Pelodiscus sinensis: one gene and its partner. The main gene of each other region encodes a partner of the protein of the gene in region 2 in a complex. Links are inferred from orthologs where the notes say so. Each region holds a gene or a part of one and is shown on either strand. Other genes may lie near its edges.

Evidence for each region.
Region 1: TAF3 (region 2) and TAF13 share a complex: the UniProt entries of both Homo sapiens proteins name them as parts of the TFIID basal transcription factor complex. The link is inferred for Pelodiscus sinensis from reciprocal best matches to the Homo sapiens genes TAF3 and TAF13.

What each region holds. Positions count from the first base shown.
Region 1 is NC_134711.1:148,142,342-148,158,237, reverse strand, and holds TAF13 (transcription initiation factor TFIID subunit 13), read left to right. Parts: upstream 1-10,058; 5' UTR 10,059-10,141; coding exon 10,142-10,168; intron 10,169-11,909; coding exon 11,910-11,988; intron 11,989-12,365; coding exon 12,366-12,463; intron 12,464-14,437; coding exon 14,438-14,608; 3' UTR 14,609-15,207; downstream 15,208-15,896. UniProt on the Homo sapiens protein: The TFIID basal transcription factor complex plays a major role in the initiation of RNA polymerase II (Pol II)-dependent transcription.
Region 2 is NC_134711.1:9,748,505-9,764,325, reverse strand, and holds the start of TAF3 (transcription initiation factor TFIID subunit 3), read right to left. Parts: upstream 6,061-15,821; 5' UTR 5,937-6,060; coding exon 5,771-5,936; intron 1-5,770. Other genes in the region: ATP5F1C (ATP synthase F(1) complex subunit gamma, mitochondrial), read right to left, coding at 12,360-12,366, 13,345-13,441, 15,750-15,821. UniProt on the Homo sapiens protein: The TFIID basal transcription factor complex plays a major role in the initiation of RNA polymerase II (Pol II)-dependent transcription.

The DNA of each region.
Region 1 (15,896 bases), about 140 Mb from region 2:
GTAAGTGAAGGCTTCCATGCAACAGTTAAGTGGATCAGCTTGACTTTTATATTGGGCTAGGATTTGTTTCAGGCCATCCAAGAGATCTTCAGATAAATTCTTCAAACATACATCAGCTTTTGCATCATACTCAGCCAGGTATTTCTAGAAAGAGAATGTTAGGTGAGATTTCCAACTTAAACCTAAAAAATACATGTCTTCTGTGTCAGCACCATGTTCATCTTGTATCACCAACCACATCAGTGGTATCAGGCCATTTATCCATTGTTTAGAAGTTAAAACTGGGTTCTTCAATAAAACGTTAGCCAACTAAGCTCCACTTGATAGTAAAACTAGAGAGGTTAAGAAGCGGTGTCTTTTACTGTGGCATGCCACTAAGCTTCATAAGTTCTTAGGGCTTAAATCTGATCCCCAGGAGTTCTTGTGATTGAAAGATGAACCTGTGTTGCCTGTTGAATAATCATGACTACACAAAAGTGAACCTGCTCTTGAGGGAGGTTTGCATGGCAGAACACTGAAGAACTATGGATAATTTGAACCCTTGTAAATGTCTGCAATTCTCTTTGCTCTGTTAGATCATGCCACTTAAGTCTGTTAATAAGTGGGGAGTGGTTGGTGGTTTTATTTTTTGCTATGTCATGGTACAAACTTTGAGAGAAATTCAAGCTTCATTTAATTGGGGACAGAATTTCACTCTTATTAACTAATGATAGAAATGTGGAAACACCTAAGCATGCCTCCTCTCTGTCCTATTCACCTTCCCATTGAATGTGTATTTCAGATTTAGTTTGGAAACATGCAAACTTGCACTTAGATTAGTGTCCTAACCAGTTACCTTCCCCAGACCTCAAGGAACACCATGAAGTTCATAAGCTTGTCCCTTTCACCAACAGAAGTTGGTTCCATAAATTTTACCTCAAGTAGCTTGTCTCTTAATGGCTTAAGCATTTCCTCTCACTACAAGTATATTTGCATTTTAGAATGGGGTTTGATGTTCTAATACTGTTGTTAATTTACATAGCAAATAACACCCAGTTCCTGGCTTTAAGCCCTCTTGATTAAAATAGTTTTCCCTACATAAAGGAACTGGTAACATCGCTGTGAGGACGGAACTGAAATTAGGAGTCAGTTCTATTCCTGCTTCTGTCTCTATCCTCTTGGGCCCCTCTCTGTGCCTGTTTTCCCCTCACACATTGTGTTGCTTACTTAGAACATACACTTTTTGGAACATTGGCAATCTCTGTACAGCACCTACTACAACAGGTTGGGACCTCTAACTGCTACTGTAATGCAAGCTATAAGTCACAACCCTCCCTTTGCAAATTGGTTAATGCTACAGGAGAAGCTATTGTCAAGGCATCTTTCCAGCATGTGGGTCTTAAAAACAGAAGATCTGAACAAACTTGGGTTGTCAAGCAATTAAAAAATTTAATCATGATTAATGGTGTGCACCTCCCCAGCGCTGCAGGAGCCGGGCGCATGGCGCCTGATGGCAGCTATAAGGGATGTGGTGCGCCCCTCACAGCTGCCATCAGGCGCCCCTCATCAGTTTGCACCCTGGGAAGCTGTCCGGCTCGCCCATGCCTCCGTCCAGCCCTGTACCCAGCTGATCCCAGGCTCTGCATTGCACTGCCCCTTGGAAGCCAGGGATCAGCTGGATACTCCGATAAGTCAGCCAACTAGTAGATTCTTGCCCCTTTGCTGCCTCTTTCAGCTAGATCCTCCTATCTGCCCCTTTGATGCGACATCTGCGGCTCAGCTATGCTGCCCCTTTAAAACACTGCCTTACCTCTATGGAATCTACATGAAAAGCCCTCATCTCCAGTACATGGTACAAATTATCAAGCAGTTTCATTTTCTCTGCACTTACTGTCCTCACCGCAACCTGGAATCTGAGGAATATGAACATGGTCCCTTAATTGCATACTCAGGCCAAGGAGAAACACTTTCATTATAAGGTTCACAATGACATAAATGTTAGAAAAACTGAACAGGCTGAATAATTTAAATCCAGGTAATCTAAAAAAACACTAAGTGGAAAGCCTTTATTTAAATCTATGCTGACCAACTTTTCCTTTTGTACTTCAGTTTCTTTCTAAAGGAAGATAGACTGTCATTGGTTGTCACTATTAAAATGTAAATCTACAACTAGAGCCTTTTCACTAAAATGAATACATATTTAAGCAATTATGTATCTTAATTTCAGACTAAGTATACATTTAATATATTAAACAATATTTACCATTTTCTAGATAATTCACTTTTTGCTCGTGATTTCTCAAGCTGCATTAGGATAGAAACTGGAATTTAAACAAACAGCAGATAAAGTGTTTTACACAATCACCTTAAATGGTTTGGCTATATAATCTTTTATCAAAAGATGTTCTACATTTACAACTGAAACAGATTAAATGTATTCAGTGAATTTAACTGAGTAAATCTGAAGGTGTTGCACTTTTTCTGATATTCATATAATTCAGTCAGAGCTTCACTGAGGCACTTGTTGGTTGCAGTCTCAATTAGGTTTTTATGCATCTATAGATCTTTCAGTTTAGTTGCACTTTTTTTTTCCTTCTGCAGCTTCCTAAGGGGTCACCAACGCGTTCCTGGGACTAAGTTTACCAAGCAATAAAGTCCTACAACTTGCTGGGATAGTGGACCTCATGCCAGCAGAGGAATACAGGCAAATCTGAAGAATTCTCCCTATAAGAGAATCAAAGCAAGGCCTCAGAAGGACAAACTTCACTAGTAAACATTATCGATCTCCCCTCCCCAGAAATTATCAATATAATCAAAAAGGCAACTGTTTAAAGAGCTGACAAGTAGCAGAGGACATCACAAGTCTGTTTTAAAAGGCAAAGCAACTGTTCCTGGGTAGAGTTGACCTACAACAGCATGGCAAAACCGTGTGGAATGGGAGAGGACCACACATTACCAGAGATACCCCTAACTATTAAATACCTTTAATAAAATAAGTAACTCTTTGAAGGTTTCCCATTTCTTCCTTTGCTTTCTAAGAGGAGCCATTGTTATCACTGACAGCCTCTCTCACAGCCCCCAATCTGAGTGGGGTTCAGAATGACTTAGCAAGAACTATGTAGAAAAGCAAGAAGCAACACTTCTCTCCTGTATCCATTAGATCAGTGATTCTCAACTGGGGTCCAGGAACCCCTGGGTGGGCTGTAATAAGGTTAGGTGTGGGGAGGTGGAATCCGGCGAACTAGGCTAGGATTAGACTAGCTGAGACTACCTACAAGGAATTTGGTTACTGGCCTTGTAATAAACAAGAGAAAATTAGTCTATATGAGGTTTTAAAATGACATCCATGGTAGATATGTAGGAAAAGAATAGTTACTACTTTTCATTTCTCTAGCATCTTCCTTTCAAGGATTTCAACCCACTTCAAAGAAGATAATGAATGTATACTCACTTGTGCAATCGGGAAGTATTACTGATGGAAAATTAGGGAACAGGAGTAGGGCCCAAATTTTTAAAGGTATTTAGGTAAAGAGGTAGAAAGGCACTTTTGAGAATTGCCACTAGATGCCTATACACGCTAAGTATGTAAACCTCCCCAAACCCCTCCAGTTTCAATGGAAGTTAGATGCCCAGCATACTTAGGTGCTTTTTGAAAATCTCATAGGTGGTTCTCTGCATCTTTAGCACATAAATATCTTTGGAACTGGCCTTATCTAGTCAAAAGTCAGTAATAGAGCCTGGAACAGAACTCATATTTCTCTGTCAGTTTCAGGAACCTTTTTATAAAAGAAAAATGCCAAAAATTTATTTTCATAGCAAAAAGTAAATCTGAATAAACATTGGGAAATATTTTTATATTTAATCTGGATAAACTGATTACTTTTGTTGGAGAAATACAAACTTTTTCATTTAACAAATGAAAAGGATCATTTTCCTTATTCATGGAGTAAAAATATATAAATATAATATACTCTCCCTGTTTTCCAGTGAGAATATAAAGCTTTTGTAGTTATATATTTAATGTCCTTTCTGTAAAAATATTAAATTCATTTTTATGGTCTGGGGCCTAAGTGTGTCATAATCTGGCTCTGATCATAGAATACTAGGACTGGAAGGGACCTCGAGAGGTCATCGAGTCCAGTCCCCTGCCCTCATGGCAGGACCAAATACTGTCTAGACCATTCCTGATAGACATTTATCTAACCTACTCTTAAATATCTCCACAGATGGAGATTCCACAACCTCCCTGGGGAATTTATTCCAGTGTTTGACCATCCTGACAGGAACTTTTTTCCAATGTCCAACCTAAACCTCCCTTGCTTCAGTTTAAGCCCATTGCTTCTTGTTCTATCCTCAGAGGCCAAGATGAACAAGTTTTCTCCCTCCTCCTTATGACAGACACCCTTTTAGATACCTGAAAACTGCTATCATGTCCCCCCTCAATCTTCTCTTTTCTAAACTAAACAAACCCAATTCTTTCAGCCTTTCTTCATAGGTCATGTTCTCTAGACCTTTAATCATTCTTGTTGCTCTTCTCTGGACCCTCTCCAATTTCTCCATATCTTTCTTAAAATGCGGTGCCCAGAACTGGACACAATACTCCAACTGAGGCCTAACTAGCACAGAGTAGAGCGGAAGAATGACTTCTCATGTCTTGCTCACAACACACCTGTTAATGCATCCCAGAATCATGTTTGCTTTTTTTGCAACAGCATCACACTACTGACTCATATTCAGCTTGTGGTCCACTATAACCCCTAGATCCCTTTCTGCCGTATTCCTTTCTAGACAGTCGCTTCCCATTCTGTATGTGTGAAACTGATTGTTCCTTCCTAAGTGGAGCACTTTGCATTTGTCTTAAACTTCATCCTGTTTATCTCAAACCATTTCTCCAATTTGTCCAGATCATTTTAGATTATGACCCTATCCTCCAGATTAGTTGCAACTCCTCCCAGCTTGGTATCATCTGCAAACTTAATAAGCATACTTTCTATGCCAATATCTAAATCGTTGATGAAGATATTGAACAGAGCCGGTCCCAAAACAGACCCCTGCGGAATCCCACTTGTTATACCTTTCCAGCAGGATCGTGTGCCATTAATAACTACTCACTGGCTACGTCTACACTGGCGCGTTCTCACTCAAAAACTCTTTTTCAGAATAGTTCTTCTGCAAAAACTCTTCCAGAAGAGAGCATCTACAGTGGCATGTGCTTTTGCGCAAGAGATGTGCTTTTGCTCAAGAGCATCCATGCCAGTGTAGACACTCTCTTGCGCAAGAAAGCTCTGATGGCCATTTTAACCATGGGGCTTTTTTGTGCAAGAAATTAATGTTGCCTGTCTACACTGGCCTCTTGCGCAAGAACAGTTGCGCAAAAGGGCTTATTCCTGAGCGGGAGTGTCAGAGTTCTGGCACAAGAAGCCCTGATTTCACACATTAGAACGTCAGTTTACTTGCGCAAGAACACACGGCCAGTGTAGACAGGCAGCAAATTTTGCGCAAAGAGCGGCCACTTTTGCGTGAGATCATGCCAGTGTAGACACAGCCTCTGAGTACGGTTATCCAGCCAGTTATGCACCCTCCTTATAGTAGCCCCATCTAAGTTGTATTTGCCTAGTTTATTGATAAGACTATCATGCGAGACCATATCAAACTTTACCTTACTAAAGTCTAGGTATACCACATCCACGCTTCTCCCTTATCCACAAGACTCATTATCCTATCAAAGAAAGCTATCAGATTGGTTTGACATTATTTGTTCTTTACAAATCCATTCATCATAACAATGAATCTCTTCACACCAAGGCCACAAGAAATAACCACAACCTTCCTCCTCTCAGTTACATCAGCATAAGTGTACTTTGTGATTAGTAGCACATACATTGCTTGAGGTATATGTAAGCTGGTTCTGCTTGTGTCCTGAACTCTAAGGGGAAACAGGGAGGCCTCACCACTGGAAGATGAGCTCTGTTTCATCTTGTTTAAGCTGCAAGACAAAGCACTGTCAGCCAAGAAACCTACAAAAGGAAAACAGAAAATACTGATTTTACAGGTCAGACAGAACAGCTAATGGAGTACCCAGTTGGGAGAATGAACCTAATCCAGAAATAGGAATGGAGGAAACAACAGCATAGTGGGTGCTAAATAAGTCCCCCATATGAATTGGTCTCCATCTCTGAGATTCTTCAGTTTGGGCTTGCGAAAATGACTCTCTGACTGAGCCCAGTTTTGGTTTGTTTAAATCTTTTTACAGACTGACAGAAACATGGCCCATCACATCCACCCTTTATCAAGACCCTTTCTCCCCCAAACCTCACACATCCCTTGGTCCTTTCCTTCAATAAAAACATACCCATTTTTAAAAATTTTTAAGTGGGGGACCATTCCTAAAACCAGATTTCACCCCACAATCCCCTATTTCCTGGTAGAGAAGAAAAGTTCTTGTCTCCAAAAAGGCTGAATTAAGAAAGAGGCTTTAGGGGCTGCAGCCCTGGGTTAAGGGGGCCTTGCAAAAAGATCTCCAGGCTGCCACAAATGCAGATCTTTTTGCAGGGTCATCTTGGCCTGGGCTACAGCCACTAAAAGCCCGTGTTCTATCCCTGCCTGGCAGGGGATGCGGGTTGGGACAGTGGATGTAGCTCTGCACGCTGCCTTTCTTCCTCCTGTTCTCTCTGGGCTGGAGTTGTAAATGCCAGATAGCTCCATCTGTGTGCTTCCCTCATCTGCAGGCTCTGCCGCTCAAACTTCCATTGGAGAGGAATTGCAGGGCAGCATGCAGAGCCACCTGCCCCCTCCCATCTTCAGGGTATGCACTTCCAAAGGGGAACAGGCCCAGGAAGGTGCCCCACACCCCAATTCACCTGCCCCAGACCTGAGCCCCTTCCTATACCCTAACTCCCTTATAGATCCTGTACCCCTACCGCTTGCTCTGAGCCCCCTCCTGCATTCCAAACCACTTAGCCCTAGCTTGGAGCCCGCTACTACACCCCAAAAGCCTCATCCTCAGCTCTACCTGAGCCCAAAACCACATTCAGAGTCCTGACCCCTCCCCCATGCTGAGCCCCTCATTTTTAGCCCCTCCCCAGAGCCTAGGGGCCTCTCAGGAGACTTAATCTGGGCTTGGTCCCTGATACTCCTCAGGAGGCACCTGCTCTCTTTCTACCGCCAAATGTGCAGCAAAGGACACAATTCACAGCATTCTTTAACCAGCCAAAGAAACACCTGTGTAATTGCACCAGCAAAAATAAAGTACCCAGCCCCAGGAGAACAGGCATCCCATTAAAAGCATTCAGCTCTCCAGCACGGGACCAGATAGGAACCAGAACATAATGCAATAGCTTCATTACAATAGAGTGGCAGCATCTGTAAAACATGGCTTTAAAAGTTTGGTCTCCTTCACCCACTCCCCTTTACGGAGAGCAGAAGAAAAGTTCTGGGGTATCAAATCCATCCCCCCAGCTGAAGTGCTATGCCCATGAGAGCCCCTAGAAGGGAAGGGTTCTTCCCTAGAGCTGAGGCTGTCCATGACAGAACCCCTCACGACCCAAGAACAGCTCCGTTTTGGGGTGGGAAGATTCCAGGGGACATTTATATGGCACCCCCTTTACAACCTCTGAGCGCCACTGAAGGAGTCAGTCTGCAGGGCAGAGGTGTAGCCAGCTCATTTTTGACACCTCATTAATACGTATAAGCAATCATTAATATGTATGATTTGCTATGAATATGTAGTAGCTGTTAGGCATGTTAATATAGAAGTTTCTAGGAGTGTTGCACATGGCACGCAAGTAGCTGCACATGTCACACTGTGCTGCTGCATGCAGCACACTGATCCAGGCTGTTACAACTTGTTTATCAAAGCACCCAATCAGGGACCCTTGTTTTCCTGTGCAGGGTCCAATGATTTTAAAGATAAAGATCATGAATATTTATGAGAAGGGTGCTTTGAAGGCCTGGCTAACAGTTGTGTGTGTTCGTTCGCGCCTCCCTTGTTCCTGCTTGTCTCCTGTCTGTTTATGTCAGTCTATAGTTAGTTAGGGTTAGCTAGATTTTATCGAGTGTGTCCGTTAGGATTAGTGCGTTGGTTCACTGCACCAGCGGCCGGGTACTTGTCCGTGACGGGAGCGTCGTGTTAGCTAGTCAGGTTTTGTTTCCAGGTGTTAGGGATAGGTAGCTGTCTATCATCGGTTCCTGCTGAAGCGCAGAAGCCACCTGAAGATCAGCACCAGGCAAGTCTCCACCAGTGATTCCTGCATCTAGGAGCGCAAGGCCCCAGACAAGGATCATCACCACCTGCCTGCACCACACCCATCCCCAGGGTCTCCGAGGGATCGCCTCTCTGTTCCTCACTGAGGGCTCGGAAGGAGCCTAAGGCTTGAGGTCGAGAGCATCGTAGAGGGTCACCACTGCGAGGGATCTCCTCGTCTTTCACCAGAGGCTTTAAATTATCAAAGGTTTGAGAGACAGGAGCTTCTCACCCACTGTCAACTACTGGACTGTGTAATTATTGTATTTTGTGTAACCTTGTGTTTGTGGGGTACTTTTCTATTGTGAAAGTAGAAAGAATTATACTGTAAGAAAAATATGAATTGTGCTGTAATAATTGAATAAGTTGAAGGAATTCTGTTTGTCTTTTTAAGAGGAAGAAGAAAAGTATGTTAATGTTGATTGTAGGTATGCAGATCAAGGTGCTAGCCAATTTGGGCCTGAGTTTAACAGGAAAAGAAACATTAGGTGTTAGACAGGAAACAATTCCAGATAATCAGGGAGATATAGCCAGGAGATTGCTGTGTGCTTAATATTGAAATGAAGAGTACTTGAGTAGCCTCACACTAATTATGTGAAGTTTTGCCCCCCTTTTAATCCTGTTAATTTTGGCTTTCTTTTGACTGTATAAATCAAGAGGTTTGAACCTTGTATGGCACTCACATTTTCTCCATGCATTTTAGCAAAGCTTTGCTGAAATAAACAGAGCAGTCTGCCAAATCTGTGAGTCCTGTCTGACTTTGACACTATCTTCTTTCCTTCTTGAGGTTGGGATAAAAAGTGTTTACCTGCTTTTCCTTGTGCTTTTAAAACTTTTACAATATATGGTTTGGCCCTTTTAAAGAGCAATGTTTTTGTTTACTGTGGCATTCTTGGGTCAGCAAACACCTATGATAGATGAGGTTTGGTGGTATCTGCAACTTCCACTGAGGCTTAATTAATAATCAGATGCAAATGTAGGTACAAGCTTTCCTCAGTGCAACAGAGGGCTGCATTCCCCAGAGGCAATGTTCCCTCTATTTTGTTCCACCAGTGCAGAATTAATGTTGTTATGTACACCAAGTCATTGTAAAGATGTGCACCGCCCATAAAAACACACGCTGCCAGCTGTGGGTGCTCTGCTAGTCAGCTGGGCAGCGTTTGAATCTTTACTGGGCAGCCACCCAGCTTACAGGGAAGACTGCCCAGAGGATGGGAGTTATCCCCCTCCCCACCACTAAACACCAGGCGCATTAGGGGGCTGGGTCCTACTCCCTCCTGCCTGGGCCACAGAGGTTCCCCAGCAGCCCCTCTCCCAAATCCCTGCCCGTTGTACGGGCCTGCGGTGCCCGGGCTGCAGGGATATTCCTAGCCAGGAAGGCTCTCTCCCCCAGCCCCGCTTGCCCCCCTGCGGATCCCCCCCCCCCCATAAGTATCACAGCGGAGCGAGAGCAGTTTCCTGAGGCCAGCTCGCTCCACCCAGCTGCAGGCAAGTCGCTCTGGCTCCTGGGCAGGGGAAGCGGGGGGGATGTGTGTGTCTCCCAGCGCAGCCCGGAGGAGCTGCAGGGGAAGTGCCTGCGGGCAGCAGCCAGCTGAGATAACGCCCCCCCCCCCCTTGGGGAGCTGCTGCTAGGGGGGGGTGCCCCAGGTAAGCCCCCCCTCCTCACAGCTGTTCCCCCACATCCCTCCTCCCCCCCCCCCCCGCTGCACCCCCACTCCCTGCTGCAGGGGGGACAGGCACCGCCACGCGCTGCGCACACCTGCCCGCCGCGGCCGCAGAGACCAGCACCCAGTCGGGCGAGCGGGGCGGGGTGTTGGAAGCAGCGGGCGGGGGCGAGTCTGGTGCCGTACAACAAGATGGCGGCGCCCACAGCTCAGGCTGAGGTGGGCGGGGCTTGGGGAGCGAGGTGCCGCTGCGAGCATGGCCGACGAGGAGGAGGACCCGCCGGTGAGTGCAGCTGCCAGCCCCCGGCGGGGGGGGGGAACCCCTGTGCCCCAACCCCTTCCTGCCAGGGGAAAAGTCTCAGCCTCCCGTTCCCCCCCCCCCTTTTGGTGCTGTGGTCCCTTCCGGCCTCAGCCCCTCCCCCAGCGTTTCCCTCCACGCGCAGGGGCTGCAGCAGCGGCCCAGGCAGGGCAGGCCCCGAGCCGCCTCGCGCCTCCTGCCTCGCGCCTGCAGGCAGCCCCGCTGAGCTGCCAGGGCTACTGGAGGAACAACGCGCTGTGGGGGGGGGGCGCCCTGCGGCACAGGCCCGGCAACAGTTTTTGACCTGGAGCCGCTTCAGAAATGTTTGAATTGGCCTTGGGCTGCCCTGAAAGGGGCGGAGCCTCTGGTGCAAGGGGCGGGGCCAGGACACTTCCCTGCTTCCCTGGACACACACCCTGATTGTTGTGTTGGGGGGGGGGGGGGTGAAGTCTTTGTCCCCAGAGCCCCCCATCCCCAATCATCAACTGTTCAGAACAGTTGGTGGTTCCCTTTAGGAGCCCACCACCTGGTGGTTGGAGGAGACTGTGCACTCCCCCCTCCCCCTTTCCTCCAAGTTAGTTGGGGGGGGGGGAGTGCGTGCACAAAGCCTCCTCCCGCCCTGTCCTGCAAGGGGTGTACAAGGCTTAAAGTCAACTGCCAGCTGCTCAGAGGCAGCAGCAGAAGTTGGGGCGGGTGGGAGGCAGTGCTTGCAGGGTGCTGGCTACTTCCCTCCTTCCCAGCTCCCTGTGTAAACATGTAACTGCTGAAAATGTCAAAGGTTACACGTTTACAAAAGAAAACACATTTTAACATTCTTTCTCCATGGCTGTGTCTAAACTGGCCACTTTTTCCGGAAAAGCAATCGCTTTTCCGGAAAAACTTGCCAGCTGTCTACACTGGCTGCTTGAATTTCTGCAAAAGCACTGATGATCTCTGGCTGCTTGAATTTCTGCAAAAACACTGATGATCTCATGTAAGATTGTCAGTGCTTTTGCGGAAATACTATGCTGCTCCCGTTTGGGCAAAAGTCTTTTTCAGAAAAACTTTTGCGCAAAAGGGCCAGTGTAGACAGCACGGTACTATTTTCCGCAAAAAAGCCCCGATCGCGAAAATGGCCATTGGGGCTTTTTTTGCAGAAAAGCGCGTCTAGATTGGCAGGACGCTTTTCCGCAAATCTAGACGCGCTTTTCCAAAAATGCCTTTAACGGAAAACTTTTCTGTTAAAAGCATTTCTGGAAAATCATGCCAGTGTAGACGTCGTCCATGTGTTTATTTAGGGCTTGGTTCAGGATGTCAAATTTGGGAATTAATTGCAGTCTGTTTTTGAAGGTTTTTTTTGTTTGTTTGTTTGGTTTTTTTTGGCCAGAGAATAGCAATGTGCAAGTCTGAAACTGCATGATATTTATGACATAATTTAGGAGTTGGCAACACTGGAAATACTTTTTCTTGTATCAGCTTTCTCTGGGCCAGGTACAAGCTTTTGAGTTTCATGGAGAGCTCTTCTTCAGGGCTTAAGTACAAATAGTTTACACACTGAAATGGAATCCATAATTAGGCACAGACATATTCCCCACAGTCACATTGGGGGTATGGAGTGGAGTGGGAGATCCCTGTGGGGAGATTGAAATATAGGGAGCTGGGCTTAGGCTTGGCTGTGTCACTAATTGGGCTTGTCAGCTATGCTTATATGTCTGAGTTCCCTCTCTGGTATTCTGCACCACCCTAGTTTGAAGAGGACACTGAAGAAGCTGGAGGAGGCCCAGATGGTGGACAGGGCAAGAGGAAGAGGCTGTTCTCCAAAGAGTGTGAGTTTGCCATCCATGTGTCTGGGTCAGTAAGGAGGTGGACCCTCACCTTAGGCTCTCGGACAACTGCATTTGGCTTCGCTTCTATGGAGGTTATAGTCTATTTTAAATGAGGATATGACTGTAAATCACAATAAGACAGTAAAAGTGACAGACCACAGGAGTTCTGTGAGAGTCTTACACTGGAGTGGATGGGAGAGCTTTCTGAAGTCCATTTATTGGGTCCAAGGCAAAGCAGATGCGATAATGACTGCCAGTGGATCGATTGATGTGATGGAGATGAGCCCTTAGTTTGGTTGAAGAATTTAGTGCATGTTGCTAAGTGTCCTGTATAATGGGGAGCTCTTTCAATGATACCATGTTTTCTGTTTCCCCAGTAAGATGTATGATGTATGGGTTTGGAGATGACCAGAATCCCTACACAGAGTCAGTGGATATTCTTGAAGACCTGGTGATAGAGTTTATCACAGAGATGGTAGGTTCTATTAAGACATCTGCTTACTTTGTTTCTAGACTGTAATGACTATAGAGATCAGTCCATTTAAAAAGAACTCCTAATTGGACAATGGTTAGGAAAGTCCTTCCAGTGGAAGGGACTGAGTTAGTTTTTTAAAGAACCCAAAAGTAGGGTTGGTTTATTTCCCTTAAAAAGCAAAATAAAAAAGTAATGAAGTTTAAACCATTAATAAAGGTCGTCTCGTGCCTGTCTGGTTAAATATCTAATTTGCATTCTGGTGGTCACTAACCCTTCATCCTTCCAAGGTTGATAATCTAGTCTATTCAACACTGTGTAAAACATTTCTATATGGTACTTGTAAAGGGAAACAGTGTCCTGCATGCTCTGCGTGGACTTTAGATTCCATTTCTATTGTAATAGAAGATTCATCTTGTGGTCCTTAGCCAAGGATTCCTGAATTCCATTTTTAACAGAACTATGTAATTCCTCTTCTGGGGTAGAGGAGTTTTATGTACTGTTCTGTTTAATTTCATCTGCTTTCTAAGTACTACCTCTGGAAATGGGACACAGAAAGGGATCATGTTCTCTCCCTCTGGGGCAACTAGTATTGGCCACTGTCGGCAGGCAGGATACTGGCCTAGATGAACAGTTGGTCTGACCCAGTATGGCTGTTCTTCTGTTGTAGCAGGTTTAAAACGAATAAAAGAAAGTTCTTCTTCTTCTTCACACAGCGTGTAGTCAACCTGTGGAACTCCTTGCCAGAGGAGGCTGTGAAGGCTAGGACTATAACAGAGTTTAAAGAGAAGCTAGATAATTTCATGGAGGTTAGGTCCATAAAAGGCTATTAGCCAGGTGATAAAATGGTGTCCTTGGCCTCTGTTTGTCAGAGGCTGGAGAGAGAAGGCAGGAGACAAATCGCTTGATCATTGTCTTCGGTCCACCCTCTCTGGGGCACCTGGTGCTGGCCACTGTCGGTAGACAGGATACTGGGCTAGAAGGACCTTTAGTCTGACCCAGTACGGCCGTTCTTATGTTCTCCTCTCTATATCATTTTGCAGGTTAGGCTTGTTTTCCTGTGCACTTGCTGCTCCTCTGATTTTGATGTCACCTGCCAGTTTGATTATAATTCACTATATACACACACAATGCTCAGTGAAGGCACAAAGCAGCTATGCAGGATGCAGAGATAGGCTTGGCTTATGGATTTTATGTTTTAATTATTTTGACAAAGTATCTTAAAACATAGCACTTATGTCAGTTGCCAGGAAATAAGATTTCATTTAAGAGTTGTGGAGCGGGATGCCTACTGACTAGCTCAATGGATCCTGATCCATGAATCTTGCTCCTAGCTGTATGGTAATTCAAATATTAAATAACTGGCAGGAAACATTGCTGCTTAAAGACTGATTTCACCACTGTGTAAATCAGGGATGGGGAACCTAAGGCTTAGGGGCCAGATATGGCCCCCAACTTGTCTGTATCTGGCCCCTGAGGCTTGGGGCTCCCCTCCTCAGTACTTGGGTGCCTATGGTTGGTGTGCCAGTCCCTCTGTTGTCCCCCCATGGGGCTGGAGCACACAAAATCTACCAGTCTGGACACCCCTGGGCTCTGGTGCAAGAGGGATGTGGGGGGGATTTCTCCTTTTCAGTTGGGGCCATGTCAGTGAGGGATTTGGGGTTTTTTGGTTTTGTTTTGCTTCTCACTTATGTGTGGCCCCCAATTGACTTTTTTTCTGTTGGTCAGTGGCCCCTGGCCCAAAAAGGGTTTCCCACCTGCGGTGTAAATGGATCACCTAGAGAGATTCTCCTGACCATAGCCTAGCTAGGATGGTGGCTTTCAATCTCTGAAACTAATGGTTTTCTCTTCAAAAGTGAGAAGTAAAACTGCTTGTTAGACGGTGCCCTGGCACTGTTTCTAAAAACAGTAAGGTAACTTATAACAGGGAAAAGGGACCATACATTTTCATTAAATCACTTAAATGTTTTTTAACAGACTCACAAGGCAATGTCAATTGGACGGCAGGGTCGTGTGCAGGTTGAGGACATTGTCTTTTTGATCCGCAAGGATCCACGGAAGTTTGCCAGAGTAAAAGATCTGTTGACTATGAATGAAGAACTGAAACGGGCCAGGAAGGCCTTTGATGAAGCAAACTATGGATCTTGATGCATTTGTATGTGCAGAGATGGTAACCTGTAGCCATGTTTATCCCTATACATTTTTAGCATGTTTTTCAATACTGGAAAAACTAACTCCCTACCGACTTCTATTTGTTTTCGTGGCTTTTAGGATGGATCTCAGTGCTGGAGTGTTTGCCTAGGTTTTAGCATTGCCAAACAAGCCTATAACATTTTGTAAACGTCTCTTAATGTATGTATTGTCTTAATGTACGTTTGGGTTTTTTTTTTGGGGGGGGGGGAGGCTTACAGTATTTTAAGAAAAGACAGGAGGAGCCCAAATTAGAAGTGCTTCATGCATATCTGTAGCAACTCTAGTTTTGAGCTTTGCAATCTGTCACATACCAGATGACTAGAAAGCTAAATGGGAACAGGTGCTTGGCATCTGTGCTGTAGTTCTCATTGGTTTCAGATACCCTTCACCTAATCCACCTTAAGTAGATTTCAAAGGAATAATTGAAAACAGTCAGTGCCTGCATCTATTTGTGCTAGAAGGTGTTGATTATAGTGTTGTTACTCAAAATATTGGTATTTGCTTTTCTTTATAGGGGTATTTATGAACAATAAAATATTTTCATGGTTCACTCACTCCTCTTGTTTTGGGTCTGGTTTTAAATATATTCAAGGCACATGATAAAGAATAACTTATTTGCACTGAAATGGTGTATGTCCAGTAGTCTTCGGCCCACAATAGGGTCTTAATCTACTATGAATGTTTTCATGGAAATGGCTTAACTTTTTTTTGTACGCTGCCAAAACTATTAGAGAGGATGCTGACTTCTTAGATTTAGCTTCACAGTTAGCTGTGACTCTAGGCTCACCTCCTATAGATTTAACTGCACTCGAATAGTTCCCGCCACAAAGTATTATAGAAAGACAAGACTGAATTTCCAGGCATTTATTGGTCAAGAGGAAGCAATCGGGGCTGAATAAACAGCAGGCTACAGCTTCCTTCTAGAATCTAGCATAATAGAAAAAGCTTAATGATGCTATTACTTCCTTTAATAACTTTAATTGAATAGTTCTTTGTAATGGTGGAAGATCTAACTGCTCTGGTGTTTCACAGCTGGTTTAATGTCTGAAACATTATACTAGTGGGAGTCTTTTATACTTAGGTTTGAATTCCACCATGGTTGACTTGCCTTTCATTCTTAAGACACAAATTGTTATGTATGTTTTACTGAGTTCTACTGCAGAAGGTCATAAACCGAACCCTTGGTATTTAGTAGAAATACTACAATCCGATGGTATTTCTTTTGAAAGAGTCGGTATTACCA
Region 2 (15,821 bases):
GTAGATTTTGTCTAATTCTTGAAAATTCTTTTTGCATAACATCTTAAAGATACAGTCTTACTTATCTGTTAAACTCTTGCGTCTTGATTACTGCAACACTTCTCTGTACCCTTAACAAATGCAATTTTTCCTGCTCAGATCTATACAGAATATTTCCTCAAAGATAATTTCCTAGCCCATTGCTCTGTCTGTGTCATTCCCTGCTACCCTTTTTCTATTCTCTTAGACTGCTTCTCTTTGTTTTCAAGGCCTTTCATAGTCAATCCCCACTCTTTTGACTCAAATTAGCACACAATACCAGCCTCCATATATTATGCTTCATGCCCACGTCCATGTTGCCCTTGCTTCTTGGGAGGCACTCCCCATAAACAACTGCAAAGCTATCTTCAAATCATTCCTCAAAAGTCTCCCTTGCTAGGAAACCAACAAAAGACCTCATAACAGGCTGCACTGCCCATCACCACTGTTGTCTGAATGTTTCCATGTATTCCCCCATCTGTTATATCTTGTCTTATGATTAGATTGTAAGATCCTTGTTTCAGGACCATCTCTCAATTCTGTAAGTGTACAGGACCTAGCATAATGAGCCCTGGTCCATGACAAGACCTCCTAGGAATTACGATAATTAGGGATGTGAACTATGGATGTAAGCAACTACAGGCAGTCCCCGGGTTACGTACAAGATAGGGACTATAGGTTTGTTCTTAAGTTGAATCTGTATGTAAATCGGAAATGGCGTCAGCCGCTGCTGAAATTGATCAGATTCAACAGCGGCTGAATCTGGACGCCAGTTCTGACTTACATACAGATTCAACTTAAGAAACCCAGGCGTCCCCAAGTCAGCTGCTGCTGAAACTGATCAGCGGCTGATTCCAGGAAGCCCGGGGCAGAGCAACTCTGCCTCTGGCTTCCTGTAGTCAGCCCCTGGTCAGTTTCAGCAGTGGCTGACTTGGGGACGCCTGGGGCAGAGCAGCTGGGGTGCTGCTGGGTTGCTCCAGTAGCGCCGCTCCTTGGCGCTACTGGAGCAACCCAGCAGCACCCCAGCCGCTCTGCCCCAGGCGTCCTGATTCAGCAACTGCTGAAACTGACCAGCAGCCGCTGAATCAGGACGCCTGGGGCAGAGCAGCTGGGGTGCTGCCGGGTTGGTACAGTAGTGCCAAGGAGCGGCGCTGCAGGACCAACCCGGCAGCGCCCCAGCAGCTCTACCCCAGGCGTAGGCAAGAAAAGCCTGGTCTGCTGGGGGGGGAGGGGGGAAAAGAGGGGCACTAGCTGCACCCTCCCCCCAGCAAACCAGGGAGACGCGGGTGGCGGGACCGCCCGTGTCCTCCATGGCTTTGCTCTGTCTCCCTGGTCTGCTGACCAGGGAGACGGGGAGGAAAGCCGCGGAGCACGCCTGCAGCGGGACATCCCAGGTGCGCCCGGGCTGTCCCGCTGCGGGCGTGCTCCGCGGCTTTGCTCTGCGTCTCCCTGGTCTGCAGGGAGACGGGGAGCAAAGCCTTAGAGCATGCCCGCAGCGGGACAGCCCAGGCGCGCCCGGGCTGTCACGCTGCGGGCGTGCTCCGCGGCTTTGCTCCGCCTCTCCCTGGTCTGCTGGGGGGGAGTTTCCCCCCCAGCAGACGAGGGAGACGTGGAGCAACTTTTCTCACCCCGGAGGACGGGGGCGGCGGGATTGCAGCGCATCTGGGCGTCCCGCCGCTCCAGTCCTCCGGGGCAAGAAAAGCCCCATTCGTAACTGCGGATCCAACATAAGTCGGATCCGCGTAACTCGGGGACTGCCTGTAGTCGAGTAGTTGACGACCCAATAAGCATATGCTTGCTTCCCTCCCTTGCTGCCTCTATAAGAGTCAGCAAGAGGAGGGAGCAGAAGCCGGTGCAGGAGGGAGCTGACTTAAAAGCTGATTCCCCCCAGCACCGTCTCCACAGGGGGGCAGAGGTGCAGAGGGGGACTGGGCAGGAGCTGGGAACCAGATGATTCCTGGCTCATGCCCAGTCCCAGATACTGTGCCTCTGCTTAACTGCAGAGCTGCAGCATCTGGGACGGTGCGACCTGGGACAGCTGATTCCCGGCTTGAACCCAGTCCCCTGCTGCGTCTCTGCCTTTTATAAATGTAATAAGAGCCAGGGCTGGGAGCTAAGCCCAATGTGGCCCTGCACCAGTGGCTGCTCAGTGCTTTCACCCATAGCTACAATCATTCCTGTTTTTGCCTTATTTCTATATCCTGGCTCGAGTCCACTCTAGACCTGCTTTTTCCTTACCAGATTCCTGACTCTGGCTCTAACTCTTGATTCTATTCCTGACCTCTGACTTTTGCTGTGACTGCTGAGACTGACAGCCACTGTTCTAAACTCTAGTCCTGACCACGCATGCATTAATTCGTAATACATCTCCCATCCCATTGGAAATCACAGTATCTCTGACAACTATAGCTATTCTTACCTAGAAAAGTAACATTAGGAAAATACTGAATATATTTAGACATCTTTTGATGTGATATAGCAAATGGAAAATAATTGGCACTGTCAGAAAAGTCATCATTTGCTTGTTAACTGAGAAAATATGGACTCTATTATTTGATTTTACAGTCATTTTTCAGTGTAGAACCATAGTATACAACTATTGTGTCTCAGTTACTGAAGATCCAATCTGTTCAGTTTACAAGTGCTAAGATCCCATCCCCCTCCAAATAAACAACTCAACTGACAGTCCTGCTAAGTCATACTGATCCAAGGGTCAAACTGGTTAGTTTCCGGCTAACATATCAATAACAAAGACTCTACAACTAGAAGTTAATTAATAATTTATTTTATCATGCAAGAACCACAAAAGAATCTAGTTTATTATTTCAAACTTGAATTGGTTTTGTACAGTAGAAGTTTTACACAGTGAAAAGCAACCCCAAGTCTGAATACACTTCAGGAGGTGAGAGTTCTGTTGAGTAATAGGATGTGCTTTTGACAGTCACATCTGAGAGAAAAATATCAGCGTGAAGCAGAGAATATAAAAAAACATTATACCACATACGCCACTTATAACAGCATGTGCCTCTGTAATGAAGAAACAATGCTCCCTTCCCCTCCATACATTCATCAAGAAAATATGCCCTGTTCCCAAGTCGCAGTAAATGCTTCACACCCCTTATGCAGCTGAAATAAGAAGGTAGATTACAGTGCCTCCAACTCCTAATTATATAGCCCTCCCCCGGCCTCACAAATCTCAAGGTGGCTATGGAAATATAGGCTAAGCCCTGGAAGGTAATTCTGTTTTCAAGCTTCTCAGCACTCTCACAGTGGCAACTCTGGTCCATGTGTAAAGATATTGTCCCCCATAATACATCTGCTTCACACCAAGTTCACATGGATCAGACTACTGACAATAAGTCCAACCCAACTTCAGGTGGGTAACTAAGTCCTCTCTTTTATTCCACAGTCGGATGCTCCCTGATCTCCTAGATTCTACCTTACAATTATTATACATGTTTATACAGCACCATTCATCTTAGCATTTATATGCGAAACTTAGAGGTATGATTGTGGCACTTGTAAAATCCCTGCATTGGTGATACATATGGGTACCACCCTATGCACTCTCGCTTCCCTTTCCCTCCTAAAAAAGAACCTAAAGTTTTTCTCATGACTATTGGTAGGCTCAGTCCAACCCCTGAAGGTAGCCAAAAAACATATGGTCCCAAGGCTCCTCTGTTTTTTTAATCTGAGAACTTTTGGTGGCAAACAAGAAAAACCCTCAGAGCATGACAATATCCACATACCCCCCCATCCTTCTGGGTTTACAGTTTATAGGGAGGTTGTCATCCCTGGCGTCTCAGCCCTCTAATCCCAATGGACCCTGGAGTCAAAGCAGCAGTGATGCCCCCACTCCTCAACTCCCATTAGCACTGTCAGCCCCCAAGTGACCATGGATCTTTACTCACCTCTGCAGACTCCACTACAACTGTGCCTCCCAGAAGCTCTCCCTGAGCTTACACTACAGTGACACTCCCAGAGCCCGAACTGACCCACCATTCCCCTTGACTCCCCATGTTCAGAGAGAGCAGTCATGTATGACAGCCATGCTTCCTCAGATCATATTCTGGAAGAGAATTGGCATGGCCATATATATCAAAGGAATAAAATGAAAAAAGTGAACACATTATTAAACTGACAAATCAGATTTAGTACAGAAGGTGGGGTGAGGGAGAGGGAAGGACGGAATAGCTATTTATGAGTCGATGAATGGTTAATCAGGGGTGATAAGTGAGGAAGCTATCTTTGTAATGGTTAAGGTAATTAGCATCTTTGTTAAGGTCCATCCCTCACCCTGCACTAACCTCGCATACACAGAACTCACCAGGGTGGTTGCTCTTGCCCAACCCCAATTCTCACAATGTCCTCAGCACTCAGCTGGCAGTGACAGCTTCAGCCTCGCTACACTCACAGAATGTGCAACAGTAGTCCCACTGTGTCTGGCTACCTCTACACTCACAGAGCAGGCAGTTACATCCCCGTCCCCACAACTCGCCCCGTACCCAACACTCACAGTGAAGCCACCAGCAGCCCTGGACCAGCAAGACCCCGTCCATGTTCTTCCCTGCAATCACTGAGCTTACAGTAGCAGACACCGCCCCCTCCATCCATGGCTCCCCCACTCCTGCACTCACAGAATGGGCAGTGGCAGCCCCAGCCCTCCGTCTCCATAGCTCCCCCACTCCTCCACTCACAGAATGGGCAGTGGCAGCCCCGGCCCCCGTCTCCATGGCTCCCCGTCTCCATGGCTCCCCCACTCCTGCACTCACAGAATGGGCAGTGGCAGCCCCAGCCCCCCATCTCCATGGCTCCCCCACTCCTGCACTCACAGTATGGGCAGTGGCAGCCCTGGCCCCCGTCTCCATGGCTCCCCCACTCACAGAGTGGGCAGTGGCAGCCCCGGCCCCCCATCTCCATGGCTCCCCCACTCCTGCACTCACAGAGTGGGCAGTGGCAGCCCCGGCCCCCGTCTCCATGGCTCCCCCACTCCTGCACTCACAGAATGGGCAGTGGCAGCCCCGGCCCCCCGTCTCCATGGCTCCCCCACTCCTGCACTCACAGAATGGGCAGTGGCAGCCCCGGCCCCCCGTCTCCATGGCTCCCCCACTCCTGCACTCACAGAATGGGCAGTGGCAGCCCTGGCCCCCGTCTCCATGGCTCCCCCACTCACAGAGTGGGCAGTGGCAGCCCCGGCCCCCCATCTCCATGGCTCCCCCACTCCTGCACTCACAGAGTGGGCAGTGGCAGCCCCGGCCCCCCATCTCCATGGCTCCCCCACTCCTGCACTCACAGAGTGAGCAGTGGCAGCCCCGGCCCCCCATCTCCATGGCTCCCCCACTCCTGCACTCACAGAGCGGGCAGTGGCAGTCCCGGCCCCCCATCTCCATGGCTCCCCCACTCCTGCACTCACAGAATGGGCAGTGGCAGCCCCGGCCCCCGTCTCCATGGCTCCCCCACTCCTGCACTCACAGAGTGGGCAGTGGCAGCCCCGGCCCCCGTCTCCATGGCTCCCCCACTCCTGCACTCACAGAACGGGCAGTGGCAGCCCCGGCCCCCATCTCCATGGCTCCCCCACTCCTGCACTCACAGAACGGGCAGTGGCAGCCCTGGCCCCCGTCTCCATGGCTCCCATCCCCTCTGCTGTGGCAGGGTCAGGCTGCCCCGGCAGGGGAGGCCCCGCCCCGCACTGACTCAGCCCCCCGCTCCCCTCCCCCGCAATGCCAGAGGCGGCCCCCGGCCCGGCACTCACAGAGCTCGCAGTAGCGGTGGCAGCCCCGGCCCAGCCCCTGCAGGTAGCGCTGCAGCACGTCGGTGAGGAGGTCGCAGGCCGAGATCTGCACCGAGTCCCAGCCCAGCGCCTGGCAGACCTGAGCCACCGACACCCGCAGCAGACACCGCGAGTAGCTCTCGCACATCCCGGCCGGCTCAGCGCGGCCCGGGCCCGGAGCCCGCCATGGCCCCCCTCACGCGCAGGCCCTGGCGCCCGCTGCCGCCAACGCCGCCATCTTGGGGTCGCGCCTCCCGGCCGGCCGGGAGCAGGCAGGCCGCGCCGCTCCACCCCCGAGCGCGTCGATGGGGCGGGCGGCCGATCGATTGCTCTGGCCTCCAGCGGGGCCGAGCCGGCCTGGCTGTGCAGGCGGGGCGGGGGGATCGCTCAGCTGGTAGACAGAGACCCAGGGAGAGTAGGGGAAGGCGCAGGGGGAAAACGGGCGCACGGGAAAGTATTAGGGGGAGGGGAATTAACAGCCTGAGACTCAACTGGGAAAATACCAGCTGCTACCTTTGTTGGAAGAGGTGGGTTGTGCGTGCCCACGAAAGCTCATGCTACCATCCACGTGTTTTGATAGTCTTTAAGGGGCTGCAAGACTAGTTGTTACTGGAAAAACTTCAACTACAGAGTAACTCGGCTACCCTTCTGTACCTCTATGGGTAGAGCCCTGCCCGGCTACACCATTGGTACCTGCATCTGCAAACAGTACCAGGGGATATAAAGTGGATATCCTCAAATTTGCAGGGTCCTACAAACAAAACTGGGTGTCCGCCTCCCTATCTGCAAAAGTGAGCCGCAAGTATCTTCGTCCAGATTTGCAGTGCTCTGTTTGGTAAGGATCAGACAGTGACAGGGGAGTGAAGAGGGACCTGCAGCCCTGCTAGAAACTGATGCAAACTAGAGAAGACAATGCACAGAGAAACTTTGTGCAAGTTTGTGGTAAGAGAAGCCTGCAGAAGAGGGATGTTAGTCAGTGCAGTATCAGCATGGTATGAGGAGCTGTAGTAGCAATCCTAAGGGTTAAAAAGTCTTTAGTCTGGACCCCAAAAGCATGGCCTTTTTTTAAAAGGGAGGCATTTGGGGTTTGTTTATATTTGTCTTATGGGCAATAGAGCAAGTGGTTTAATTTTTCTGCTACCCCCTCCCTTCAAACATATGAAACACTTTGATTAAGAAATGCTGTTGTTGTGTCTGAGGGGGTTACAGATCAGATGCTTTGCAATCCCAGTCTCTTTGGGGCTCATGCATCAGGGTACATCTCCTATGATCTCTTGGAAAGAGGTGGCCTAGGAAATGTTCAGATGCAGAGCCTGGCCTATGGAGAAGGGGAGCACAGGGAACTTGAACTATAATTTTTGTAAGGCAGACTGTAGGCATTTCAGAATAAAAATACTATTTTTATTTTAAAAAACTTAAAAATTCTTTGGAAAGCATATGCATTTTCAGAAAAAAATAGTTTGTCAAATCCAACTTTTCCTGAAAAAAAGATTTGACTTCCCTCCCCTTCATTCAGCACTCAGTGGGGTTCTCTGTTATGTCCCTTCTCTCCTTCCTTTAATTTTTTCCCCTTTCAGATTAAGCCCTCTGGTCATTTTTATTACTATTCTTTGAATGCTCCCCCCGTTTGACAATACAGTAAAAGCTCTGTTATCAGCATACTGGTGGAATGGAGGGTGCTGGTTAATTGAATATTCTGTTTAACAAACAGTTCTATTTTATCTATGGAATACCACTTTTCAAAGAACTAGAAAACAATAAAATGAATAAAGTATAATAGTATTCAGGTACTCACCAAGCCTGATGTATTGCACTGCAGAGTGGTTGGTTCCTTGAAGCACTTAGGTGTATGCAGGGAAAGTTATTTTGTGTCACTACACGACAATTGGCAGGTCATGACATACATCCCAGTTCATTAAAAATACACTTAATATAAAACTCTACAAAATGTAATTTAATCTTCAATGATTCAGCAGGCACTTCAGGATCTTGTAGTGCCTCAGGGTCATCAATATCAATTATCATTGTAGATGTTTGTAGAAAGTGTAGGAGATTGAGCTGAACTGGTAATGACATGCCCTAGAAACTGCATCAGCTTACTTATTTGTCTTCTGCCTTTTTTGGCATAAAAGTAGAGTGTAGAATATGCGGTTGCATAATGTGCTGGGCGTGGCCATATACTAGTCTGTTACTAGACTGAATATTTTTGTTAGCAGATATTAGAAATGCCAGTTGAGCTTTCCAGTTAATTAAGTGGCATATAACAGAATATTTACTGTATTATGGTTGTGGTGTGCTTTCTGGAATGTAATGCGAGATTAACAGGTAACCAAAGATATGCGGTACTCTGTAACTGAGTATATAGTTTAAAATTGCACCAGCCTTCTTTGCAGCAAAGCCCCATGCTCAATTTGAAGGCCTGGGGCCTTTATGTGGTACATAAGAGTTAGGGGCCAAAATAAAGAATACATTTTAGATCAAATATTGGGAAGATGCAGTGACAGATGTGCTAGGCTTGACTCAACTTTCACCAAAGTGGTAGGAGCCCCATTATATGCTGAAATCTGGAAAGGGTTTTGTAGAAAAGCCCATTTTCTCCCCATTCCTTTATAAATTCACTCTATTTCTGACATGTGTGCCTTTTCTGAAAGGGAGGGTCTGGTGTCTCTTGAAGTGAGGAGAGGGCTACTTGTAACAGTCTCTCTCTATTGTTTTTTAGTCTTCTATTCTTCTCCTGGATACTTTATAACTTTTAGTTTCTCTTCCATGCTACAGTAACAGTCATCTTTGCAGCAGATCCCCATCCACTCTGCTTTTCTGCCAGCACTTCTGTCTAACCCAGGAAGTGGCCTTTCCTCCAAAATATCAAACTCAAGAAGCAATCCCAGACCCTGGCCTTAGGCAACTTCTCACTAAGTTCCTTGTACTTCAAAACCTTCCCATTTCTGTGCATGTTGCTGATCTCCATCTACAGAGGGTGCACAGTGAATTGCATGTAGAGCAAACAGTTATTCAGGATGGCATTTGACTAGGACATGGGTTCTACACTACAAAATTAAGCTGACCTTTGTTACATCCACATATAGCCACCAAGTAATTAAAGTGGTTTTACACATCCACCCCTACATTGCGTGCATCTTCAGCTTGAGTCCTTGCACTCATTTAACTGCCACTGTGGAGCATTGAGGGATGGTTTCTGAAAGGCAGCACTAGTCAATGTGAGTGACACAGTGTCTGTACAGTCACTGGGTTGACCCAACACTCCTGGGGTAATTCTGCACCAAACATTTTAAAATTCTGTAAATTCTCAGAGCATTCTACAGTTAAACATCAGTGAGGACTCTTTCATTTTCCTTATTTGTTGACCAAGGGCAGTTTGTCTACCAAAGTTTTGAGTCAGCAGGATGTGTGGTTAGGGGAAATAGAATGGGCCAGGTTAGAATCCTAGGCAATCCAACTGAATACATTAACTGAGAATGGATTGCAAGGACCAACCTAATACCAGACCAGTGACTACTTCCATTTTTCATCTTACTAAGGTGTAACTTTGTAGGCACTTTCTAGAGAAAATAGAGTGGAAATTTTTGATCACTAGGTTTGAGTAAAACAACCTTCAGAACAGCAAAAGACATTTGATCATGTCACAACCTTGCAGAATAATTAAGATTCTTAAAGTTAATTATTGTATATGTTTGTAATAAATGTAGTGCAATAGAATCGTTACAAACAAGCAAAACATTGGTTTTAGTTTCCTTATAAATTCCTGCACTGGAACAGGTAGGATAGTGGCAACATTTTCATATTAAGATTTGTGGAGTCAAAAAATCTCTTCCTACCCATAAACCCTACTGTATTTGAAAAAAGACAGGATAGGTGATGCTCTAATATCTATCAGAATACTCCTGAAATTGATTTCCAACCATTTAAGCAGCTGCACCTGCCCCCTTCATCCAAGTGCAGCAAATGATTTCTAAACTCTTCTTTTAGATTGTAGTTTGAAAGTATTTACATCTAAACTAACTTATGTCAGGGGCAAGGAACAGGCAATTAGCTAGTGGTTTTAGGGAGGGAAAAAAAAGAAAGGAGCTAACTATTCATGAGTAAAGTTACACTTGAGTGTAAATGGATTGAGGACTTAGACTGTAAGCCCATTGGGTTAGGGACTCCTCACCTCACATGACTGAAATGCCCACCAGATTTTGGCTGCTTTATAAAAAACACACATAGAAAATTCCCTGGGACTTGTTAAAGTTGCCAATTATGAGCATCATTAGTCAAAGTCACTGTTGGTAACACATCAAACATGACCAGCAGCCTCAGTACTAATTTAAAAAAATACATCTAATCTGGAACAGATTAATCATATTGCATGATCACTGAAACTGGTTCATCTCTGGCTTTCCAATTTCTCACTTGGTCCCTCTCTTGTCTATCCAAACATTTCAGTTAAATTCTTCCTCTGACACTCAGTAGCATCTTTCTCTTCAAGTCTCTTGGGCTTACTCTCCTGTCTATTTCTCCAGATTCAATCCTGATCTTCAAGGTTTTGTTTCTATCAACAGTACTAATGTAATTTATTTCTGATCTTCTCACACCATTTCAATGCTGTTTCCTTCTTTTTTTTCTTTTCTGTTGTTCCTTCTTTCATGCTACCCACACATATAGACCTCCTACCCCCCCAGTGCATTCTACACTTCTCAAAATTCCTTACTACAATAACAAGTCTCCTTTCACACTGACACTATTGACTAATAAGATGTAGGAATGCACAGCTCTAGACAGTATTTTAATTAAAAAACACCACTGATAAAAATGTACGAGTGGCTGATGTACTAGGGATGTTAAATTTAGTTTAATCGAATAGTCAATGGGATTTCCATCGACTATTCAATTAGTCGATAAGGGCGCCTCTACCAGGCTCTTGCTACAGTTCAAAAAGCGGAAGCTCCGCAAGGAGCACGGGGTAGTAGGTCCCGTGCTCCCTGTGGCACCTCAGCCTTTGAAATGCACAAGTGCAGAGCTTTTGAGATGTACAAGAGTGCCACCGGGACTCTTCTACATTTCAAAAGCAGAATTGCAGCAAAACTGGCACAAGTGGAGACTACTTCAGTCCCTGCTCGCGCCATTTCTCGCTGTGTCTCTACTTCCCCTGTGGAGATGGTGCTGGAGGTACCGGCTTTTAAGCTGGCTCCTCCGAGCACTGTCACCTGCTCCCCCGTCTTGCTGCCTTTCTCTAATAGAAGCAGCAGTGGTGGGGAGGGAAGGGGAGAGAACGACTAGTCGCTTCCATCCCTGCGATGAACTATGTTTTAGAATACAAGACCAACGGGACAGTATATCGGAAAGAACAAATCCTAAAACATTGTAGGATAATATAATGCAAATGAATTTGTGCATGTTCCCTTATTGTACTAGGCTAATGAACAGATGCATTACACAGACTTTATACTTGCTTTTGAAACATGAAGCATTGAACGTCCTCTGAGAATACCAGATTACATTAGATAATTTGTTCTCTGAATCACATTTCCTGTGCTTCTCTAAGGAAAATCCACCTACACACTACATGCAGCAAACAGAATACAAGCAGTAAACAGCTGATTTCAAAAAGTAATTGATTCTCTTTGATCCAGATATTCACACACAAAAAAACAGGAACATCTGTTTCATGTAAGTGGTTTATTGTAAGATAATTTACAAATATTTTGGGTTTTCCCCATGAATTCTTCACAGAATGATGGACCAACAGCTTTGTCAATATGGATATAAGCAGGTTAAACCAACTCTCTAGAATAGCTCCTTTTTTCTTCACCTATAAGAATACAAGAAATATTTCAAGTTTACACAAATATCAAGAGTATCTTTATGTGTTTATATTAAATTATCGCCATTGTCTTTTCATGCTCCCCCATGAGTTTTGAACAATTCTCACTTCAAACGTTTTCTCAGTTCTCCCAATTCCTCTTTAAAACCATTTCTTTCATCACCCTTTTAATCTATCTATCTATGCATTCCTGCATTTTAACTACTGTAAATTATTCAGGGAATAAAACAGTATTTTGTCTGTATCTGTAAAATGTGTATGCTTGTGGTGCCATAACTTAAAACTGATGATTTTTGTTTAAAAACAAGTTCAGTGGTGGAAGGGTATTGAATTAAACCATAAATAGAGTCTGTGATTTGGATACATCGTGTGACATATGGATCACTTTCTGTTCTTTTAATTTCCCCACAGATTATATGCATTAAAGCTCTCTAGAACCATAAGGCACACTATTATTAACCTATTTCATAGGTTGCAACACACAGTAATACTAAGGTTTAAAAACAATTTTCTATGGCAGTAGCTAACTACACTCTAATTACAGATGGGTCCATACTAATCACTCCCCAAATGATTGCTCCAAAAGTTTAGAAAAGGGCACTTAAAAAATTAGATTTCAGTGCTGCAGTTCAGATACTGATGATTCTGAAAGGTTAAATGAAAAAATGTGCCTAAACATTTTTTGAAAGAATCTAGTTTCTACTTCATCACGTTACCTCTTAGCTTTGGCTGAAACTTGCTTTCCGATTATCCCCTGGTAATATTGTTATGGGAAAAAACAGAACACGCAAGTTAAGAAGCAATTCATGCAAACTAAGGCAAAAGTTATTCTTGCGATTTAACCAAGGATGCGTCACTTAGCAGACAAATTAAATACATAAGCAGCTCATTAAAAACGCGCACACATGCAATTGTGGCACAAGATGTTTTCCAGCCATTTTTGTACATACATTAGTTATGAATGCATTGATCTATATCTTTAATTAGAACACAAGTCTAATCTGCTGATTAGAATTAATTTATATTGCATCTATACAAGTAAACCAATTATATGGGTTTAAGCGCAACCACCTCTTATCACCCATAGCATACAGTGTTCTGCAGTTCCTAGCAGAGTGGCAAAGTTCGGTATTTGTCAGCAAAATACACAAGAGCTTAACTGGTTCCATTTAATTAAAATGCATATTTACATTGAACAAGCTAAAGTTCCAAGCAATAAAAGTTATCCCTCACCTTCTACACTACACAACAGGTTGGTCCATTCAGAGGAAAGGCCAATCTACCATGTAGGCTGCCACAAACCAAGAATCTACACTGCATCACAGAGAGCTTTGGGGGTGTATGAGCCAAGGGTGGATGTAAAAAGGCCCAGGTAATTACACCCACAGAATGGAGAAGACATGGGTATCCAATAGAGAGTCAGGAGGGGCAGGGAAAAGAGCCATTTCCCATAAATACAATGCAGCTTCATGCCTACAGAAGCTTTGCCAACGGCCAGCAGATGAGGCAAAATTTGAATTGAATGCAGGCTTTAAGCATCATACCAGTCACTAGAATTTATTAAACAGAATAAATAATTCTTCAACTATCAGTGCATCATTTTTATCATTAGTTTAGAACCACTGTTCCATTGCCCTCCCAGTTACTACAATATAAACAGCAGGAAACGTATGAACATTCAAGCGACATGAGTGGGGAAAAAACCTTGTCACACATTTACACAGATACTTACAGAGCAGCAGCACCAGAAATGATCTCAATAAGCTCCTTGGTGATGACGGCTTGACGGGTACGGTTGAACGTCAAGGTCAATTTGTCAATAATCTCAGCTACAAATAAAAATAAAAAAAAAAGTGCAATTTAGAGGGTAGAATCTGAAAGTGAAAAAAGTTAAGACATTTCCCTTGGTTCTAGGTGGAGCATGGTACAATATTGTTAATTCACACCAACAACTGGGTGACCCATTGCAATTTACTAAATATTGTTAACTACCTAGGAAAGGAAAAATAAAAGGTATTGCATGTAAGGATGTAAGCAAGTAATCGACTACTCAATAAGCATAAGCTTATTGAGTAGTCAAGTGGAGTACTCAGCTACTCACCTCTCTCCACCACCCTGCTGCCCCTGAATGAGAGGCAGCAAGGAGGGCGGGAGGGGAAAAGAGCAGGAGTCGGTGCTGGGGAGGGCCAGCTTAAAAGCCAGTTCCTCCCAGTACGGTCTCCATGGTGCTGCCTGCCCTCCCCTGTCGCCTCTATCAGTCGGGCGGGGGTGGGTGAAAAGGGGAGGAGATAGGGGAGGCGGCTCTGGAAGGAGCCCGTTTGCAGCAGCCCAGGCAGAGCAGCTCCTGGCCATGGCCAGGGCCAGCCCGGGCTGCCGCAAATGGACTGTTGGACCTGGTGTGAGCCGGAATTGAGCAGTCCCAGTTCACACCAGCTCCAGGAGCCAGCCACACTACAGCTCTGCAGAGGGGCCCCCTTATTGACTAATTGTGTAGTCGATACAAACTGTATTGACTTCCTAATTAACCAAATAATTGCTCTTTAACATCCGTAACTGTATGCCAAGATGTATTTTGATAACTTATTTTGTCAGCTGAAGGTCAGCTTTAATTATAGTATCTCCAACTAGAAAATGCACTGTGATGTAATGTGTTAAGACAATCAAGTATTTATAGTATGAGACCTCACTATCTGCCATCAAGTCTCCTATAGCTGTGTTGCAATGTGTCCCCTCATGGGTAGCTATACTGGAAGGTCTTCTCAAAAGGGAAAAGCTGTACTTGTATAAGCAAGTTGTCCTTGTTCTTACCAGCACATATCTCTAATTGGGAATCTGCCTGGTTTCCCATTAATTCCTTTTTAGAGCTGAAGAGGGACCTTCCTCATGCTGAAAGGAGGAGGCCAGCAAGAAATGTTCCCAAACTCCTTCTCGTCCCACTCCTCAGATAATAGAAGATTTATGAATTCACTGTGCTATCCTCTGTACAATGTGACTGCATATTTAAAAATATGCTTGCCACCAATGTTCCCTCTAATCTTATTTTTTACATCCATGTGTGGATTTTTCCCATCCACGTGCAGAATAATTTTATGTGCATTGAGGCATGTGTTAATGTGCACCATCAGTAAAAACAAAAAACCCAGCTGTGGGTACTCTGCTAATCAGTTGGGCAGCATTTGTATCTCTCCTGCATGACCTCACAAACACACAGCTTACAGCAAACTCTGCCCAACACCACGTACTAAAACTGAAAGTCATTTGTTTTCCATCATTAATGGCCATTGTTCAACATTTGCTTTGTACTCAGCTTAGACCAAAAGAAAAAAAAAAAAACCCAAACCCTCAAAAAACCCGCACACAACCACACACCTCATTTCATTGATGCACGATCATGATGGCAAAATGCTCTGAACGAAAACAGTGAAAGGGAGCGGTTTAAATCCAAACAGTAATTTTTCTCTTGGAATTTAAAATAGAACAAAAATACATAGAAGTTCTTGATCTAAGGCTATGTAAAACTGTTGTTTGCACACATAGCAACACTTACATTTTGTTTTTTGGAATTAAATAATTCAAAATGTACCCGATACCAAATTCCACCTCTTTTGCCACATTGCAGTACGGTAGTCCAAAAACTTAATGGTTGTGGCCAAAGGAAAAAAAAATGGATTCAGTTAATTGCTTCTTCACCTACTTTTGTGTGACCTTGCGTAAGATTTGAAATGTAGCTTCAGTTTCCCCATCTATAAAACTGATACAATAGTAACAATAGTAATAATCTTAGATCAACAGAAATACTTTGCAGAATTCTTGTGTAACAGTGTAATCCACTTCTAGCCACTCTTGCTTCCCATATCATGAGAACTGGATACAAAGACTACAGTGTTACCCAAAAGTAGGCCTTTCTTTCTGGGGACCAAGTAATATCTGATATCTTTGGGAAACCTAGCTGTACTGGCTGAAGAGAGAGCAACTATGATTGTGGGACTTGAAAAGCAGGGAGATGGGCTAGAAATCAGAGCATCTTTGTTTGTTAGCAAACTCTCAGAAAACAAACAAGAGTGTACACAAGAGATGATGAACTTCTGCTTAATCTTGCTAGACCGTTAAATTCTATACACCCCAGATTATCCTTACAAGCATTTTTGCTGGCGTTGTCCATAGCAGTCATTCTGGCACTCTGCTCACTGGTGGTGGATTCCTTCAGAG